Stegostoma tigrinum: one gene and its partner. The protein of the gene in region 2 purifies or fractionates together with the protein of the main gene of each other region. This does not show direct contact. Links are inferred from orthologs where the notes say so. Each region holds a gene or a part of one and is shown on either strand. Other genes may lie near its edges.

Evidence for each region.
Region 1: the proteins of lin54 (region 2) and lin37 purify together in Homo sapiens (affinity purification with mass spectrometry; 4 studies listed by BioGRID and IntAct, counting the BioPlex papers as one, with this or other methods). This does not show direct contact. The link is inferred for Stegostoma tigrinum from reciprocal best matches to the Homo sapiens genes LIN54 and LIN37.

Annotation. Positions count from the first base shown.
Region 1 is NC_081394.1:563,389-574,268, forward strand, and holds the start of lin37 (protein lin-37 homolog), read left to right. Parts: upstream 1-6,096; 5' UTR 6,097-6,172; exon of another isoform or gene 6,173-6,294; intron 6,295-6,330; coding exon of another isoform or gene 6,331-6,344; exon of another isoform or gene 6,345-6,362; intron 6,363-7,849; 5' UTR 7,850-7,906; coding exon 7,907-7,961; intron 7,962-8,160; exon of another isoform or gene 8,161-8,503; coding exon of another isoform or gene 8,504-8,549; intron 8,550-8,873; coding exon 8,874-8,949; intron 8,950-10,632; coding exon 10,633-10,686; intron 10,687-10,880. Other genes in the region: proser3 (proline and serine-rich protein 3), read right to left, coding at 144-268, 827-915, 1,423-1,556, 1,980-2,137, 2,446-2,756, 3,001-3,103, 5,968-6,029.
Region 2 is NC_081354.1:77,503,176-77,513,464, forward strand, and holds the start of lin54 (protein lin-54 homolog), read left to right. Parts: upstream 1-5,821; 5' UTR 5,822-6,036; intron 6,037-6,243; exon of another isoform or gene 6,244-6,265; intron 6,266-10,289. UniProt on the Homo sapiens protein: Component of the DREAM complex, a multiprotein complex that can both act as a transcription activator or repressor depending on the context. In G0 phase, the complex binds to more than 800 promoters and is required for repression of E2F target genes.

The DNA.
Region 1 (10,880 bases), on a different chromosome or scaffold from region 2:
CATTGCAAATCAGAATCAACTACACGCACTAACAGAAACGATCCGTGCTGAGGGAGTGCCGCACTGTCGGAAGGTCAGTGCTGAGGGCATTTCCAGTATTTGAATGACAAATGAGTGGGATTTACGAAACGTAGGATGCTTACCAACAGCAGGCTCACACAGCAGGATGGAGACAGGACAGGCTGATACTTCCTCAGCGGGATCAGAGACATTCGGAGATCCTACCCCGTCAGAGCTGACAGGAATGAGGCCACTGCAAGAAGATTCACTGGACAGGAGGGAACAGAGAAATACATCAGAGGTGAGAGATTAGATGGAAGTAATCACATCAACTTAAAGTTAAACATGATGCCTTAGTCAAAACGGCGCTCTCTCTGCACTCACCCGCCGACAGTGCGGCGCTCCCTCTGCACTCACCCTCAGGGATTCTCGTCACTCTCACTGCAGCAGTAGAGGTTTTGTTTCATGTTTTACCAGCAGAATTTGCTCAAGTAGAGTCCACACGCTTGATCAATAGGTGTTGCTCAAGTGACTCGGGAGTGTGAGGTGCTGATTGGTCCCCATAGCTGTTCCCAATGAAACCATACTGACAGAAAGGATTTGTTGTGCAGAGCACAAATTCTCTCAACCTTAGCGCCGAGGAAGTCCATGATCTCCCCTCCCCGTTTGTCTGAATGGTTGGCAGTAAGGTCAGGGCACAAGAGGTTTGGGACGGGGAACTCTTTTTGACAGGATTGGTTTCTGCGGACCCTCTGACATGCTTTGTATCGATTGGCAGTCACCCAGCAGTCGCACGCACTACCAGTGGGCTCACACAGCATCTTACCTGCGCTGCAGCAGGCGATTTGCTCTTTCCTGGAGATGAACAGTCTCCAGATCAAAGGACTCCAGCTGGGAAACCTCTAAATGTTCACCCTGGAAAAGAAAATGCATCTTGGAGACTTTAACAGAAACGAGCTGACATACAGCAATGTCTACAGATCTCACGCTAAAACTCCCTCTGGATATCAGTTATTCTATACATAAACCATCCCAAACCCTTTGATTAGATTCCGTCTGTAATTCACTCCTGTATATCTGTTATTCTATATATTAACCATCCAGCGAGAAGGGATAGATCTCTCTTCAGACCCCAGTGGAGATCCCCTCTCTGTCTAAACCAGGGACAGCGATCAGGGGCAGGAAGCTTGGCTGAATTCTTCTCTCCCTAACACAGGTGTGTCTGAGGTGTACTGTACAGCCCACCTCATTCAATAACAAAGATGCAACGAAACACACTGATGGCGTGCAGGACTATGTCCCACACAGAGCAGATCTCTGTCAACAGTAAAGACAGAGACATCACTAGGATGATACCACCTGCTGCAGGACTGATGCTCAGAAACCCCTGGCAACACAGCACAGACGCACACGAATACTTACTCCTGAGGACAGTCCGGTCTTCATTAAAGACAGACCTGGGAAGCTGGGCAGAGATATTTCCGCAGGCAAGTGTCCACATTGCTGAATAGAATGAGAGGCAGATTGTCTTTCCTCAATGGTCAATGAACGAATATCTGTGGGCAATAACAGAAGCATCAAAGAGAACCTTTTGCCTCAAACTCACCAGGCTTCAGCAATTCTAACGACACCCACCACGAGGAAGTTTCCACTAAACAGCCATTCTGACAACTGCCTCCTCTTCATGTTTCAAAGCATATAATCCAGCAGATTGTGTTGAGTAACAGATATCTGGGAGTTAGTTACAGACTGGAATCCGATTGAGGATTTTGGGTTGGTTTATATAAAGAATAACAGATACCCCGGGGTGAGTTACACACGGGAATCCAGTCTTGGGGTTTGGGGTGGTTTATATTCATAATAACAGACACCCAGGAGTGAATTGCAGACTGGAATCTAAATGATTGGAGGTAGTCATGGAGGAGCAGTATAATTTTATCCTTGCTGAAGCAACTGTTGATACAGGAGTGCTCTTGTACCTGGGTGATGCTGGTGTGTCTCCTGTGTCGGTGTTGAGCTGCTCGGGGGTGAGCTCCTAAGCCACCAGAACTCACTGCTATCAGTGTCGATTCCAGTGGTAGTACACTCCCGTTCCTCTCTGCTCAGTGGTTTGCCATGTCGGAATCGCTGGATGTACCTGAATGCAGATGGACAGGCCAGGATTAAGCTGCAATCCTTCACAAGGGGTGGGTGGGTGGGTGAGTGGGGTGGGGGTAGTACTGAGCAAAGATGACCTGTCTAACATAGCTAAAGCCAACTGGAAACTATAACGTGTAAATTATTGCGACTAACAGCATGGTTCCATCCAGCCCATCTGACGAGTCCGAGGATAGAGAGTGTAAAGAGCAGATCCTTGCTCCTATCCACTCTCTATCTTGGGACTCGTCACATTATGCCAGTGAGGAGCGGTTGGCTGACTGTGAAGTTGGTGGTGTTGTCACTCACTTTGCGATAATTGAACTCTCCGCTGGGTCAGCCTGTGGACTTCCTGACCAACCCTGGTCTGTACGGAACATCTCCTGCGATTCTGCTGTGGACCCTACCCTTGCCTCGCTTCCTGGCTCTCCTTCAGGCGTCAGGAGAGAGCTGCTCTCGGTGGATGGCCAAGACTCCACCAAGGGGCTAGCTATCCCAGCATCTGTCCCTTCACCCTGGCACACCGGCTGGTCAGTTTGTCTCGGAGCATCCTGAGAGGCCAGAGGAGGTTCTGTTGGAAGCGATGGTCTAGGCAGCTGGCACTGACCTGGTTTCACTACCTGGAAGGTGAGACATAACTGAGTCATTAAACACGGCACTTCCTCAGTACGTACCCCTCCTCTGCAGCATGTTGTCAGGTGCTTCCCCAGGTAGACAGGTCTCTGTTCTTACACTTGAGGCTGGCAAAGAGAGCGGTAGTCTGGTTGATAGTCAAGGCCAGCATTAAACCAGAAGGATGAGCTTGCAATATTCTAACCCCTTCAACCTGGCCTGTGCTCCTAACAATGCCAACCCTAGTCTCACCTTTTTGCCCTGCTGCTGAGGTATCCTTTGGGGAGAGGATGGGTGGTAGTGACTGCGGGAGAGCTGAGATTGTCCAAAAGGGTTTCCTGGACTAAACACAGAGCTGTCAGACAGATGGAAAAAAGACAATCAGAATCAGTGGCTTTACTGACAGCTTAAAAACCATTTACCAACACTGTGATGTTCACGGAAACCCCAAAACTGATCACTGATACCAATCCTGAAACTGAGAGAGAAATGGCCCTCTCACACCACTCCAAAACTGTGTCACTCCACGTGTCTGAGTCTGTTGTCTCTGACTCTCTCTCTCTCTCTCTCTCTCCCCCACCGTCCGTTTCTGACTAGTTCTCCCTGATTATCTCCGTCTGATTATGTCTTAAATATGTTAATATTAATAATCTGATTCACCCCTACTCTGACTCTCAGATTATACAGTGTTATACTTTGTGATTATATTATTGATAATCACTGACTCACTTCTACTCTGTCTCTTTGATTATATATTTATAAACATAGTATTACATTGTGAGATTATCTCATTGGTCATAGAGTCAGAGTTGTACAGTATGGAAACAGATCCTTTGGTGTGATTTGTCCATGCTGACCAGACATCCTAAATTAATCTAATTCAATTTGCCAGCATTTGGATCATATCCATCTAACCTTTTCTAATCATGCCTTTTAAATATTGTAATTGTATCGGCCTCCCCCACTTTCTTTGGGAGCTTATTCCATACATGCACCACCTTCTGACTGGAAAAGCTGCTCCTTTAGTCCCTTTTCAATCTTTCCTCTCTCACCTCAAACCTATGCCATTTAGTTTTGGACTCCCCGACCCCAGTGACAAGACAGTGCCTTTTCACCTTATCCATGCCCCTCAGAATTTTATAAACATCAATAAGGTAACCCCCTAAGCCTCTGAGGCTTCAGGGAAAATAGCCCCAGCCTGGTAGCAACATCCTTGTAAATCTTTTCTGAACCCTCTCAAGTTTCACAACATTTTCCTATAGCAGGGAGACCAGAACTGCACACAGCATTCCAAAAGTGGCCCTAACCAACGTCCTGTGCAGCCGCAATCTGACCCTCCCAACTCCTTTACTCAAAGGAGTAAAGGCAAGCATACCAAATACCTTCTCCACCAACCTGTCTACCTGCGACTCCGCCTTCAGGGAAATATGAGCCTGCTCCTCAAGGTCTCTTGGTTCAGCACACTCCCCAGGACCTTATCATTAAGTGTATAAGTGCTGCTCTGATTTGTCTGTCCAAAATGCAACACCTCATTTGTCAAAATTAAACTCATCTCCCACTCCCTGGCCTATCTCATCAAGATCCTGTTGTACTGTGAGGTAACCTTCTTCACTGTCCACTACATCTCCAATTTTGGCATCATCTACAAACTTACTAATCGCATTTCCTATTGTTTACACCTCTGAATAACTTCTAGGCTATCTCTCTCTCTCTAACTGTATGGTATATACATGGTGTTATGTTATTGATTATATGATTAAGAATGATTATATATTATTGACAATCTCTGATTCACCTCCACTCCATTTCTAGATGAGTGCTTTCATTATGTGAAGAATAATGCTTACATGATCACAATATTAGAACAGAGAACATAGAACAATACAGCGCAGAACAGGCCCTTCGGCCCTCGATGTTGCGCCGACCTGTGAACTAATCTAAGCCCCTGCCCCCACACTATCCCATCATTATCCATATGCTTATCCAAGGACTGTTTAAATGCCCCTCATGTGGCTGAGTTAACTACATTGGCAGGCAGGGCGTTCCACATCCTTACCACTCTCTGAGTAAAGAACCTGCCTCTGACATCTGTCTTAAATCTATCACCCCTCAATTTGTAGCTATGCCCCCTTGTATAAGCTGAAGTCATCATCCTCGGAAAAAGACTCTCACTGTCCACCCTGTCTAATCCTCTGATCATCTTGTATGTCTCTATTAAATCCCTTCGTAGCCTCCTTCTCTCCAATGAGAACTGACCCAATATTAATAACCTCTGATTCACCTCCACTCTTTTCTACAGTATATAATAGTCTAATTACATTAAGTGATGGTTATAAACTATTAAAAATATCTGGTTAATTGTGCTATGTCACAGTTTGTAGTTAAATATTATATACATGGTGTTATATGATATGATTGCTACCCTCTGATTAAGCTCCACTGTCTCTACAATATAGTGTTGTCATTACATAAGGAAGATGGCTACACAATACTCAATGACTGATTAACTTCTGTCTGTCTCTCTAATTGTATAGTATTACGTGATGTTATATTATTGATATGAACAAGAATGAGTATACAATATTATTGAGAAGCTGATCCAACCCCACTCTGTCCTATACCATACAATTATATTTATACCCATGATTATGTTACATAACATTATTAATCTCTGATTAACTTCTACTCTCTCTAATTATATATTATTGATAACCTCTGATCAGCTTCTACTGTCTCTCTCTCTCTAATTGTGCAGTGTGTATATATATATATATATATATATATATCCCTATATATATATAAAATACATATACACACGCACACACACACCTATACATATATAGACATATATATATACACACATACATGGTGCTATATTATTCATATAAGAATGAGCATATAATAATATTGAGAATCTGTTTCAACCCAAATGTCTCTATATTATAGTGATGTGATTATATTAAGAATGATGATTACGTTATATAACACTAATAATCTATGATTAATTTACACACGAATTAAATATTATACACATGGCGTTATATATGATTGGTAACCTCTGAATCAGCTCCACTCTATCTGTACATTATATAGTGCGGTCACTACATTAATAATCATGTAACATTGAAAATTGCTAATTACTTTGAACTGTTTCTCTCTAATTAAATACTATAAACCGAGGGCTATGCTGTATAACACTTCAGACCCTCTTTGATTCACCTCCACTTGGAATCCTCCATTTTCCCGCCGCCTTCAACGGTCACGGAGGAGGCGGGGCACATCTCATTGGACGCCAGGTGGAGGGCGGGGCTAGATACAAGACGGACAGGGCTACAGCCAATAGGAAACAGGAACGGTACCGCGTGACAGGATGGGATGAGAATTGACGTAAAAACAAGGAGGGCCGTCGGAGCCGGAGCTTCAGGTCAGTCTGACGTAGGTAGTGTTAAATGACAACACAATTAATGTAAAACTATAAAACTATAATTATCGTCAAAGGGAGGGAATAAACTACCAGCGTTATCACCACCACGGAGGCGGGGGGGGGGGGGAAACCGATGAATAAGACTAGCAGCAACCTACGGCAAATCCTCCATTTTCCCGCCGCCTTTAACGGCCCCGCCAAGGGGCGGGCCTTATAGGGGGCCGGCAGGAGGTGGGACTAGTGGCTTGACAGACGGTTTGGCAGCCAATAGAGCGTGAGGACGGGCATGACGTCTGTTGGGAGCGAGATAATAGGAAGTGCAGATGCTGGAGAGTGTGAGATAACAAAGTGTGGGGCTGGATGGACACAGTAGGTCAAGCAGCGTCTCAGGAGGGCAAAAGCTGGCATTTCTGGCCTGGACCCTTCATCAGAAAAGGGAGATGGAGAGAGGGTTCTGAAATACATAGGGAGAGAGGGGGAGGTGGACCGAAGATAGAGGAGAAGATAGGTGGAGGAGACAGACAAGTTAAAGGGGGAGGGATGGAGCCTGCAGAGGTGAGTGTAGGTGGGGAGAAGGGAGGGGATAGGTCAGTCTGGGGAGGATGGTCAGGTCAAGGGGGTGGGGATGAGGTTAGGAGGTAGGCAGTGGAGATGGCACTTGAGATGGGGATTGGTGAGAGGAAGAACAGGTTAGGGAGGTGAGGATGAGCTGGGGGGTCAGGGGATTCACTCATTAACAACACTCCACCCCCAGAACCCTGTGTTACTGGCTGTATCCCTACTGATGTTAATCCCTCTCCCTCACACTGTCACTCAGTAACCCCTCTCCCCCCCCCAGGGCCCTGTGTTACTGACTGTATCCCTACTGATGTTAATCCCTCTCCCTCACACTGTCACTCAGTAACCCCTCTCCCCTCCAGCGCCCTGTGTTACTGACTGTATCCCTACTGATGTTAATCCCTCTCCCTCACACTGTCACTCAGTAACCCCTCTCCCCCCCAGCGCCCTGTGTTACTGACTGTATCCCTACTGATGTTAATCCCTCTCCCTCACACTGTCACTCAGTAACCCCTCTTTCCCCCCCCCCCCAGCGCCCTGTGTTACTGACTGTATCCCTACTGATGTTAATCCCTCTCCCTCACACTGTCACTCAGTAACCCCTCTCCCCCCCAGCGCCCTGTGTTACTGACTGTATCCCTACTGATGTTAATCCCTCTCCCTCACACTGTCACTCAGTAACCCCTCTCCCCCCCAGCGCCCTGTGTTACTGACTGTATCCCTACTGATGTTAATCCCTCTCCCTCACACTGTCACTCAGTAACCCCTCTTCCCCCCGCCCCCAGCGCCCTGTGTTACTGACTGTATCCCTACTGATGTTAATCCCACTCCCTCACACTGTCACTCAGTAACCCCTCTTCCCCCCAGAACCCTGTGTAACTGACTGTATTCCTTCTGTTGTTCATCCCACTCCCTCACAGTCACTCAGTAACCCCTCTTCCCACAGAATGCTGTGTTACTGACTGTATCCATACTGATGTTAATCCCTCTCCCTCACACTCAGTGACACACCCTCCCAGAGCCCGGTGTTACTGACTGTATCTCTGTTGATGGTAATCCCATTGTCTCACACTGTTACTCAGTAATGCTGGCTGTTGGGATTGATTCTCTCTGTCACAGGTCTGTTTGAGTGCTGTTGGTCTTTGTGGCGATTGCTTGCCTATTTCCATCGTGTGAATGAGGCCCCACAGCAGTAACATGATTTCAGTTACCGTGAAAACTGAAAAAGCAGGTAGGCTTGAACTAACTGCCCTTCTCGGTGCTGGCTCCTATCTCTTCATCATTCCTTATCCCTTTCCTTCCCCATCATGACTCCCTCACCCTGAATTTATTCTGTGTTTCAAGTTCAGCAAGTATGGTCTCCCTCCAGTACCGAAGATAAGGTTTAAACATTCAAATAGGATGACAGAGTGAAACTGTTTCTTCTGCAGGGGAGCAGAGAGTTCAGAAGAAGGGACACTCTGTCCAAATCCCGGCTCGATCCACGTGAGACGGTGAGGAGGTTAGAGAGAATGAGAGGAAGGAAATTCAGGACCTCTCTCTTGGTATGCACAGCAATTTTTGGTTCATTGAGACAATTGCATGGAGGATGCTGACTGGTCTCCTCCTGTTCCTGTGCTACAGGCTCGAGGAGGGGGCTGACTGGCATTCTGCTGTTCCTGTGCTGCAGGCTTGAGGAGGGGCAATCTGGTCTCCTGTTCCTGTGAAGGAGGAGGTGGTGAATTTTTCACTGCTGCAGCATTGCTTCTACTCAGCAGGTGGTGGTGCTGAGCGATGGCTAAATCTGCATTAGAACAGACAGAACAGGGGAACAGGCCAGGTAAGGGAGGCAGCTCTAGACCCCTAGAGTTAGTCGGTGGCTAGGAGCAAGAGCAAGGACTGAAATAGTAGCTCTGCAGCAGGAAAGTGTTTGGAAAGGTTTGTGAGGGCAGAGAAATAAAAAGACCCCTGTTCTTACTGTCACCAGCTCAGGACAATCTGTGTAGCTAATGAAAGGCTTCCTTTTTTGAAGTGAGGACTCTGTTGCAATGGAAAATTTCCTCAGCGCTGACCGTCCAACAGCGCTGCACTCTCTTGGTACCCTGTTTACTTATTCCTTTGTGTAACAAAGTTTAGTCTCTTACATGGTTTCTGTGAGTTGCAGATCTTGAGGCTTCGACAGCTCGTAATCGTTTAGATGCAGTCCTCCAGTGTCTGGTTGAGAAGAGTGATATTGAGAGGTAAGTGTTTAGTTTTCCTTTGATTTGGACTAATTCACTTGGACATTGCCATTGATCTCTAAATAAAAACCAAAAGAACTGTGGATGCTGTAAATCGGGAACAAAAACAAAGTTGCTGGAAAAGTTCAGTAGATCTGGTAGCATCTGTGGAGGCGAAAACAGAGTTAACGTTTCAGGTTCTGAGGAAGGGTCACCGGACCCAAAACGTTAACTCTGTTTTCTCCTCCACAGGTGCTGCCAGACCTGCTGAGCCTTTCCAGCAGCTTTGATTTTGTTCCATTGATCTCTATCTGTGTGGCAACAAAAACTCTTCAGTTCTGGCTGACAGTCCCTCGCTGACAGCCATTGAGCTCTCTTTTGTGCTCATGACTGTAACTAACAGTGTGTCTAGCTCTCTGTTATTTCACTTTTTGTTTCTGTGCTCACTATTATAACTGACAATGATTCTCGTTCTCAGCTGTTTCAGTTTTTCTGTTCACTGTTGTAACTGTTTTGTTGTCTTGTGTTTCCATGCCCGTTACTGTCACTCAGCCTTCTCTTTCTGTTTCGGTTTCTGTGCCCACTGTTGTAACTGAGTGCCCCTCTGCGGTTTCGGTTTCTGTGCCCACTGTTGTAACTGAGTGCCCCTCTGCGGTTTCGGTTTCTGTGTCCACTGTTGTTACTGAGTGCCCCTCTGCGGTTTCGGTTTCTGTGCCCACTGTTGTAACTGAGTGCCCCTCTGCGGTTTCGGTTTCTGTGTCCACTGTTGTTACTGAGTGCCCCTCTGCGGTTTCGGTTTCTGTGTCCACTGTTGTTACTGAGTGCCCCTCTGCGGTTTCGGTTTCTGTGTCCACTGTTGTTACTGAGTGCCCCTCTGCGGTTTCGGTTTCTGTGTCCACTGTTGTAACTGAGTGCCCCTCTGCGGTTTCGGTTTCTGTGTCCACTGTTGTAACTGAGTGCCCCTCTGCGGTTTCGGTTTCTGTGTCCACTGTTGTAACTGAGTGCCCCTCTGCGGTTTCGGTTTCTGTGTCCACTGTTGTTACTGAGTGCCCCTCTGCGGTTTCGGTTTCTGTGTCCACTGTTGTTACTGAGTGCCCCTCTGCGGTTTCGGTTTCTGTGTCCACTGTTGTTACTGAGTGCCCCTCTGCGGTTTCGGTTTCTGTGTCCACTGTTGTTACTGAGTGCCCCTCTGCGGTTTCGGTTTCTGTGTCCACTGTTGTTACTGAGTGCCCCTCTGCGGTTTCGGTTTCTGTGTCCACTGTTGTTACTGAGTGCCCCTCTGCGGTTTCGGTTTCTGTGTCCACTGTTGTAACTGAGTGCCCCTCTGCGGTTTCGGTTTCTGTGTCCACTGTTGTAACTGAGTGCCCCTCTGCGGTTTCGGTTTCTGTGCCCACTGTTGTAACTGAGTGCCCCTCTGCGGTTTCGGTTTCTGTGCCCACTGTTGTAACTGAGTGCCCCTCTGCGGTTTCGGTTTCTGTGCCCACTGTTGTAACTGAGTGCCCCTCTGCGGTTTCGGTTTCTGTGCCCACTGTTGTTACTGAGTGCCCCTCTGCGGTTTCGGTTTCTGTGCCCACTGTTGTAACTGAGTGCCCCTCTGCGGTTTCGGTTTCTGTGCCCACTGTTGTAACTGAGTGCCCCTCTGCGGTTTCGGTTTCTGTGCCCACTGTTGTAAAAGACAGCGTCTCTCACTCTCTGCTGTTTCAGATACCAGGCTGATGATGAGATTGTGAAACCTGTGCTTTCCGATCTACAGAGCAAGTGAGTTTGTCCTGTGCTGTGGGAGCCTTCTGTGTGCTGATTTGGGTTGGTACCTCCTACAGATGGGTAGACTATCCCATCTCATGCTGGAACCCCTCTGTCTGATAGAATCAGATTCCAATATTCAGCTGACCCCCTCTGACCACAATCCATTGATATTTAAAACAGAAACCGAGAGAGGGAGTGTGGGTGGG
Region 2 (10,289 bases):
GAATGTCGGTGGAGGGGCCCAATGGTATCAATGTGGACTTCACCAGCTTCAAAATCTCCCCCTCCCCCACCGCATCCCAAAACCAGCCCAGCTCTTCCCCTCCACCCACTGCATCCCAAAACCAGTCCAGCCTGTCTCTGCCTCCCTAACCTGTTCTTCCTCTCACCCATCCCTTCCTCCCACCCCAAGCCGCACCTCCATCTCCTACCTACTAACCCAATCCCACCTCCTTGACCTGTCCGTCTTCCCTGGACTGACCTATCCCCTCCCCACCTCCACACCTATACTCTCCTCTCCACCTATCTTCTTTTCTCTCCATCTTCAGTCCGCCTCCCCCTCTCTCCCTATTTATTCCAGAACCCTCACCCCATCCCCCTCTCTGATGAAGGGGCTAGGCCCGAAACGTCTGCTCCTGACATGCTGCTTGGCCTGCTGTGTTCATCCAGCTTCACACTTTATTATAATGTGATAGATCATGTTGGGTTGGGATACTGTTAGAGAAGGGTACCTTAGACAGATTATCTGTTGAATTATTTAACTGATATTTCAACTTTGATGTGTGCAAAATAGTTTTTTTCCTCTTTAACAATTCTAAATAATTCACTGGCTCTAAAGTACTTTGAAATGTTTTGAGCTTGTGATTGGCTCTACATTATTGTAAGTTATTCCTATCTTCCTAAAGCACTCACTATCATCCACCAAACCCCATAACAACAATTCATATTTATATAATACCCTAAATATAGAAAATGTTTCAAGGTCTATAATACAGCAAAATATTTTTGTCTTCAATCAGACTGTGAGCCATCCCTTAAAATTTGATTGGTTACAATTTTTACCAGCAATCAGAGAAAGTAAATGCTCAAAGAAACAATTCAATTTAATCATACTGTTGTCCTGCACACCTGTTATTCTATGGAATGGGTTTATTTTTTGACACTTTTTTTCATTAATATTAAAATTCCTTTAATCCTCTGCTCCAAAGGATACATCTCTCTTTTCAGGTTCAGTTGTACTGGCTGCTGTGCGCCTTTCGATAGCGTAAAAGGAGGCCACTCTCTGTGTGACAGTGTTGGATCTTTGCAAAAAAATCCTCACTGTCCAGGATGGGCCTGGTTTTCTTTTCTCTGCTGCAAACTATCTTTCACTTCCTTTCCCCTGTCTCCTCTATTCTCACTTCTACTTAAGTGCGGGGAATTTATCTAATCAGCTGACTCTGCTTCATAACTCCCTTTCACTGGATCACTGAGCCGAACTTCCTCTAAATTCCATCTGCCCAACCCTGTACTCTCATGTTTCTTGAGTATCTTTCCTGTCATCCATCATGTACTATCCGAGTACAACTTGTTCATGGACCCTTCCTCCTTCAAATTTCTCCAAATTTCCAAGGAACAGCTGAAAACTTGCCCTCCTTGTCCCCCGTGTCAGCCAATATTATCAATGTTTCCCTGTCTTCATGTGTTGTCTCTGCCCCTGTAAATCTGCCATTACCACTCCTCTCTGAAAAAAAGTCATCCTTTGATAGTAACATTCTTCAAACTACAGCTTCATCTTGACCCTCCGTATCCTCTCCAAAGTCCTTGAATATTTTGTCACCTACCAAACCTGTACCAATGGTTCCCAGAACTTCATGTTTTAATTTGTTCAGTCGGGTTTCTGTCTCACCATAGCGCCAAAATAGCTCTTATCAAAGTTATAAATGACATCCAGTGTGACTGTGACAAAAGTAAATATCACTCCTGATTCTCCTGCAGTCTTTCACAAGGTTGACTATGCCATGCTCCTCCAGAGCCTCTCTACTGTGAGCCAAGTAAGTGGGACTGCTCTCAATCAGTTGCATTCTTATCTATCTTATTGTATCACTTGCAATGGTTTCTCCTTCTTCTGTCATATTTTTATCTCTGGACTCCCCCCACCACCCCCCCAGCCAAAAGAATTTATCCTGACCTTTTTTTGTATGCATGTTGAAAGCACAGAGTAGGTTTTCACAAGTATGCCAACAACAATACAACGTTACCTCACCATTACCTTTTTCACCTTCTCCACAGTTGCTAAACTATCAGACTGCTTTAGCCGACATCCAGCACTGGACAAGCAGAATTTTTTTTCCTATTATGTATTGGTTTGACTGAGGCTATTGAACTTTGTCCCTTCTTTAAAGTTTGCTCTCAAGCTACTGACTGTGTCCCTTTCCCAGTCAACAGTTTGAGACTAAACCAGATTGTGGTCAACATAGTTGACTTAATGGCTGGAGTGCAGTACAGAACAATGCCAATAGTGTTAATGCAATCCCTGTTTGGGGTCTGATAGTTCATGAGTCCTGCCTCCTCATTTGCCCTCCCACATTTGAGAAGTGGTGCCTCTCAAGCTACACATAACTAATTGTCTCACTCTAAGGGAGAGATCCAGTTCAGGTCATTTGTGGACACTGGTTAATTAATTATCCTTCCCCACTGGGTGATTTTCCAACGATATATTTGCCCATTGTTTAGCCCACCTTTCCCAACTTCTGTAAAATCATCTGAATGTGTCAGTCTCAGCTCATCTGCTGATGATAGTCTCATTCAGGTCGTTGCTACCTCTAGAGTTGACTACTCCATTGCTACTGTGGCTTCCATTGTGGCTCCCTCCCACATGCTGCCCTTTATAAACTTAAAGGCATCCAAAACTCTGTTGTCTGTATCTTAACTCACACTAAGTCTCCTTCCTTTACCAGTCTTGTCATCACTGACTCACATCAATTCAGAGTAATGCAATGTTTTGATTTAACAGTTTTATCTTTATTACAAATCCCTTTACAACTTTGTAATTGGCCAGACATTTCCTTATCGTAGAACCCAAAAAGTGCAGAAAGAGGTCTTTCAGCTCATCAAGGCTACACTGACCCTCCAAAGAGCATCCCACCCAGATTCAGCCTCCCACCCTCTTCCCATAATTCTCATTTAGCACAGCCAATCCACCAATGTAACCTGCACGTCCCTGGACTGTAGGAGGAAACCCAGCAGAAACCCACAGGGAGAATGTGCAAACTCCACACAGACAGGTACTCAAGACTGAAATCAAACCCAAATCTCTGGTGCTATGAAGGCAGCAGTACTAACCATTGAGCCACTGTGCTGACCCAAATGTTATGTTGCTTATTATCATATTTTGTTTTTTAATGCCCATATGAAGTGTCTTGGCACATTATATCATGTTAAAGGCACTATATAAACATCAGCTGCGGGAATACTGGCACAGGTATAGGCAATTCAGAACATCCAATATGCCCACGAATAGATTAGATCTTGGCCATCCTTCTACCTCGTTGCCACTTTCCTACTCTGTCTTCATATCTCTTAATGTCATTAGTTTCAGAAACTGATCAACTTCTGTTTTGATCATGCATACTTCCATAACACTCATTCAGAGATTCACCATCCTCTGAATGAAGAAATTGCTGCTGATCTCAATCTTAAATGGCTTACCCTTCATCCGGAGTTTATGTCCCCAAGTTCTTGAGCCACCAGCCAGTGAAGGCATCCATTTACATCCACCCTGTAGAAATTTCATAAATTTTAATAAAATCACCTCTCATTCTTCAAAACATTTGTTGTTGTTGTTTGATTTGTGGAGGCTATGGGGGTGAACTGAATCTTGCCCTTATATAATATTTGTATTTGCACTGTTTCAATAAGAAACAGAAGAGGAACAAAGTCTGAATTTCTCCTCTTTGACTCAGGACTGCTATTGTGACGTTCATATTGACTCCTCCCACATGCTGCCCTCTATAAACCTGAAGACATAGGTTCAGAAATGGAAATTTGAAACAAATCTAAATCCAGCTAAAGTCTAGGAAATTTCAATTTTCAATCTAAAGCATGATCACGTGGGTGCCATTTCCATTCATGTCAGCTATCCAATTTGGTAAGTAGATTTATATCCAAATGCCAATAACCCTCTAGTGAGTACACAAATCTAAGCAACAGCAAAGGACAACTGGTTCCTAATAAGATATAAATGTTGAGACAGATGTATAGATTAATGAGAATGGACAAAACGAGGAACATGAGGGTTTCAGTGAAGATTGTGAGGGCATTGATGAAAGTAGCTGAGAAACGAGAGAAATGGTATTGATGAAAGAGGGAGGAAATGTGGTGAGACAAGTGAAGAAGATGGGCTGGCCAAGAACAAAGAGAAAAGGGAGTCCTAAGCCTGTTGAGAAGATGCAATGAGAGACTTAAACACAGTGAATTGGAATGGGAATGGGTGACTGACAGAGAAAAAAACAGACATGAGTGCTCAAGTACCAAAGTAGGAAGAGCCTAGAAGAGGAAGAAGTATTGTTTTGTAGATTGGTTCTCGGCTGGTTTTAAGTAGCACAGTTGATATTACCAGCTACAGTTTGCAATCAAGAAAATTTAAAACACAAACGCAGTTCCTGAAAGTGATATCAGCCAAGAAACTGAGTGGAACGGGTGACCCAGTTGAAGGGTTTTCATATTTATGATAAAATAGAACTTTTTCTAACATGTGGCTGTAATTTAGAGTAATTGCTTTTACAAAGGGGAGGGAGAAGAAATCCAATGCTAATGTTGCTTTTCTGTTTGCCCATTGTGTTTATCTCTTTTTTCCTAGGTAGTCTCTCAGGATTGAGGGTCACTTTCATGCTTGAATAGTTGGGAAGATGAGTTGCATGCAGGTTTGTGCACTACATCAGGCAGCTTGACCTTTGGTCTGTGCACATTCTCGATGAAGATTCTTGAAGTATCTAACAAAACTTAATACTACTTATCCCAAATTTACTTTGTTTCAATGTTTGAACATTTCAATTCTACATTTCTGGATTTTTTTCTTATTCCTTAACAGATATATTACAGTGTTTTTTTCAGATTTTACAATACTTTTCCACTTTGATTGATCACATGCAGGTACACCATGAGTTGGGAATAATGTTTGACTCTGGGATGCTTTGAGGGCATATGCTGTCCATCTGGGATTATCCAACTCCAAGCAAGCACAAAATAGAGTGGTTGCTTTGGGTGTCTGGTGTCAGGCAAGTGCAGCATATGTCCCATCAAGTGGAGCAGCTTTTGAATTATTTTCAGCTTAAGGCTGGACAAACTGGCTTGGGAGAGGATGCTGCTGTTGGACCTTCTTTCTTACCACCAGTTTTGGAGGACCACATAAAAGGTGTTACTTCTCCAGTCATTGGAGGTGCCTGATGTAAGTTGTTCAAGTCTCCAAACCATTTCGGAGGAGCACAGAGCTGCGCAGCAAACCGTGACCTTTATCTCGAAGGGTCACTGGAGCCGAAACGTTAACTCTGCTTACTCTCCACAGGTACTGCCAGATCTGCTGAGTTTTCCAGCAATTTCTATCTCTGCACCTTTATATTGGATTTCAGATACTGATGTTCAAAACGCTTTTCTTCAGTCAGCTTATGTCTGAGCTGGTAGTGGAACCAGTGATGAACTCAGCAATCTATGCTGGCTTTCATGGAGAAAGCTCCTAATAATCATTCATCCGCATTTTCCAGGATCTTAATTGATTAGTGGGATGGTACTGTGAGGCCCAGTTGAAAGAGAATCTGTTTCGGTGAAATTCGTACTGAGAGGTGTAATTACTGTCCAAACTAAAGAAACCCTCCCACCCCGCAAAGCAATGAGCCTGAAACAGCTGCGATTGGAAAGTTGTGGGTAACTGGGGTGGGCGGAGCAACGTGCGTGCTGGCGTCCCAGGAACGCCGTGACGCACGTCTGTCGTTCCAAACACGACGTGAGGTTTGAGAAGCGGCGGCCTTGGTGGGGGTTGGTGTATGACGTGCTTCGCGGAGCGGGGCCGTGGTCTCCTGGGGAGCGCGGTGATATTATGGGATGTTAGACCTGGAGGAATGGCGCTGGGCGCGTGATTTTGAACAAACACGATCGGTCTCCCGGTGACGAGCGCTGTGTGTCTGGTAACCGGGGCCGCCAGCGCCGCCTCAGGCCCCAGGCGGCCGCGATCCTTCTCCATGCCGCCCGCTTCCAGCTCCGAGCGGCCCGGAACCCGCAGCCGGTGAGTATCCGTCAGCGGCACGGCTATGTTTATGTCAGGGAACGCTGCACCGCTCTGCCTTCTTGGCCCCGACGAAACTGGGGCTGGGCGGCTTCGGAGCACCGGCTGATGGCGGCCGGGCTGGATTGAGAGTGCAGCCCCCTATCTGGACTGAGGCCGGGAGGGTGTGGAGCCCCCGATCTGACTGGGGCCGGGGGCTTCGGTCGGTTTGACGACGACTTTCTGCCTTGTATGAGGTGCCTTCTGTTGAAGTTGTCCGCGGTGTTGTCAGTGGCCTCACTGACTGTTTCCCTCTTTCTAAAAGACTCTCCTCCAGTAATGGCTCTTTGATCGTCCTCTCGCCTTCATCCCAATCCCCCCCCTTATCCCCTTTTCTGTTTCTTTCCCATGATGTCGCCTTAATTTGTTTGAAACTACTTCCACCACCACCGCCCCCCCAGCCACCACTGCCGTCCAGCCGTGCGTTTCGTTTTCTTTTTGCTGTGTTAAACTGTGTTGTTTTTAATATTGTGTAACTTTAATGCATTTCTGAAACTGAAAGGTTCACGTCGCTCTTATAACTCTGGGTTTGTAAAATACATTTGCAATAGTGACTCCTTCGAAGATGACCTACGATCAGATTTTTTTTAAAAAAAGAAACCAAAATAGCTACTGGATCCTGCCTGTATTTGGTCTGAAGCGGTATCTGTAATTTCTGTTTCGCAGCGGTGACTGTTCATCGCGGAGTTTAATCTTGGCTCCTGACTGATCTCCCCAGTTATAAATTTCCCCGGACCCTGGGATCATGATCCCAAAGGGCTTTGTACTGTCAGTGTTCTCAAGAACGGGCAGTATCACAAAGCCCAGGGTCGAATTTTTTTGTTGTTGTGCTGACCTTATACAGGAACCATTTCTTTAAGCCCCGCCAGCGATTTGAACGGGAGCAAGAAGTGCATTTAGATGTTGAAGAACATATCTGAGATTTTGTTTCCAGCAGGTAGATTGCTGATTTGTAAGTTGTTTGTTGTTTGAGGAGGAATGCGCCAGGGCATCAGGCTGAACGTTTGTGGGGTTTGTTCGGCAACTGTGGTATTTCCTGTTAGTTTTTTTTCCGCGGTTTTTTCGTATGATTTTTGTATATCTCCCAGTCTCGCTCAGGCCCTGCCTTTCTGTGGAAATGTGATGACGAGGTGAAAATGGCGGACCTTTCGAAATGCAATCCCTGCCTAATTATACACCCGAACCTAGTCTGAAAAGCCCGAACCGGCTTTGGGCTCTGCCCAGCCTCTCAAACACAAAATGACACATTCTCTCTCTTCACACCCAGATGTCACGCTTGTAACACTTCAGGTTTCTCTGCCAAGCATAGATAGCTCGGTTGCAAAGGCCTGCAGTTCTCCTTTTGAGATCGTTTGGAGAGACGTGGCTCTCTGAAAGATACAGTAAGATATACCCAGATTCCGCCTAACAAAAGATTACGTCTAGAAGTTGTCTAGCCATTTAGTTTACCTGGTCAAAGTACAATGTAAAATCATTCACATGACGTATGTAGGATTTCTAACGGCAAGCATACTTTGCGATATTTCTATTGAGGTTTTTCATCAATAAAGATAATTATCAAATATAAGTCATGCATAAATGTATGTCGCAAAAATCTTCATTCTTTGATCTTTTTGCTCTACTCTGCTGCCGGTTATGTTATTTACAGCGCCCCCTCCCCAATATTAAAAATTAACCAGTTCCGCCCCCTTGTCCTCCCAGAACACGGCTAAGTTGTCATCGTCAGATTCATAACTGTACAAACGCGAACAAGATTCCAGTCAACCTGTTTAGGAATGTTGTTATACACCTCTGGAACAGGTGTGACTTGAACCTGGGCGTCATGGATACTGCATCCTTGACTATCAGCTCTCTGTTCCAGGTTTGGAGGCTGTGATCCTGTTTCTCACTTTGTGTTCACTGTGGGAACGATTGCTCAGCTCCAATTTTTCACCTTTGTAATGTCGCAAAACATCTGACTTGAAGGATGGAGTAGGAAAACTTACGGGAGTTGGAATAAAGTGCTGCTGAGGAGATGTGTTTTAATGGTGAAAAGAAATATAGCAAAAAGCAAGGTAGATAGAATATTGCAAGATAATACAGACACGATGGGCTAAATAGCCTACGTTGTATCATTCTTTTGATCGCTAATGGTGGAATGTAATATAGAAGGGATCATGATGTGGGTAGAAGTTGAAATATCAGCAAGTGCAGACAAGGAAAGAGGGCTGGGGAAGGATGGGAAGCTGGAATTACAAGGAGGACTGAAAAGAAGTTGTGCTTCTGTCTAGTCACCCATTGAGATGCAATTGTTTGTGTGGTAACTTGTTGGCATGTGACTGCTATTTTATCCACAGCAAGCCTTCGCGAACATATGTATGATAAATGATGATTAATTTATCTGTTGGGCTCAAATGGGAGACCACTGACCACAGTGGGAGACGTTGAATTGTTTGGACTGATCAGGGTGTGGTGCGTCAGTTTTTCTAGTGTAGATTTTGCTTTGCTAGAGACTAGTTATGCAGTAAAAAGTTTTTAAACTGAAGTAGAAACTTTTAATAGAAAGTCCTGTGTGAGGCTTGCATACATTCCAATCTCTTGAAAGTAAACAATACATCTTTTTAAAGTTAATGTAAACACCTGCTTGGTCAACTGAGCTGTGTAATGCCTCTGATGTTCGGTGAAAACACTGACAGACCATCGAATGCTAAGGAATATTGCTCAATTTATACAGGGGAGAGGGGGAGGATAGACACTTTACCATTGATTTCAAAGTGTGTACTTGCCAATGCAGAAAATAGGTGAAATATTATTAAGCTTTGGCTGCCTTTTGTCCCTGTTTGTCCATTGACATCCTTGCAATCGAAATGTCTGCACATTTGCTGATAGAAGCAGTGTTAATGAAAAAGGAGTTCATATTTGATGTGGGAAATAGAAAAATCAGAACAACCAAAGGATTTCTTTTCAGCTGGGATTAACAAATGTTGAATAAGTAAACAGAAGGCTTGACAGAATGAATACTATCTCCACAGATTATCCTTTCTTTGATTCTTTCCCATTATGTAACCTCCTTGCTGTGTTGCTAATGGAGAAAATTCAAGTACCGAATAATTTTTGCCCGTCCTGGGAGATAGTTGAACTAAGCTGCAAAATATTTGTGTATTCTCACTGCCATGCAAACCTGTATGTTTGGTTTCTACAGTTTGTGCTTTATTTGGTGACAGCAAGCACTGCAGACTGTTTAACTCTGACTGTTGTAACCTTCCATATTTTTCATACTCATGGAATGTGGATGTTGCATGCAAGCATTGCATGTATTATCCATTACCAGTTGCCCTTGACAAGATAATGGTGAAGCGCTGCAGTGACTGTGGTGTACGTATTCCCAAAGTATAGCTAGGGGAGGAATTTATGGGATTTTGACCTAATCCCAGTTGGGGGGGTGGGAAGCGTGCAATACACTTCAAATTAATGATGTGCATTGCTTGGAAGAGGAAACATGCCAGTGTTGGTTCCCATGCTGCCCATGTCCTGTGTGATAGAGTGCATGGTTTTGGAGGACCATTGTGCATGTTGAATGTGTTACTGCAGCACTTCTAAATGGAAAATACTGCAGCCATTATGGCCTGGTGATGGATGGAATCAGTGTTGAGGCAGTAGATTTGGTCTCTAGCAAATCGGTTGCTTTATCCTGGATGTTGTTGAGCTTTGTGTTGTTGGAGCTGCTTTCATCCAGACAACTGTTCTGAGTTACAAGTTGCAGATCATGCAAAGTATTTAGAGAAACAAAATGAATTATTTGCTGCAGAATTCCTAGTTTCTGACCTGCTCTTGTAATAACACTAGTTGTGGCTGATCCAGTTAAGTTTGTGATCAATGGTATCTCCCCAGGATAATGATGTTTGGGTATATGGCAATAATAATGCCATTGAATATAAAGGGGAGCTGGCCACTTCTTAGCATTTGTAGCACTAAACCAGATAATTATCTAGAGTTGGCTCAGGTTGTGACCTTCCATCTATCCTGATGAATAGTCACAACTGGAAAATTTTTAATCTTGTTTCTTGCTGCTGCCAGATCTTTATTTCTAGCATTTTCTTTTTGTTTCAGTCTTCGATCATATATAGTATTTTGCTTTCAGATAGTTCGCTAGCCCTGTTCTGTGGACCAAGCACAGATTATTGTTGAAACATTATGGCTAATGCTGCACCTGATGCAAAAATGTGTAGAGTTGA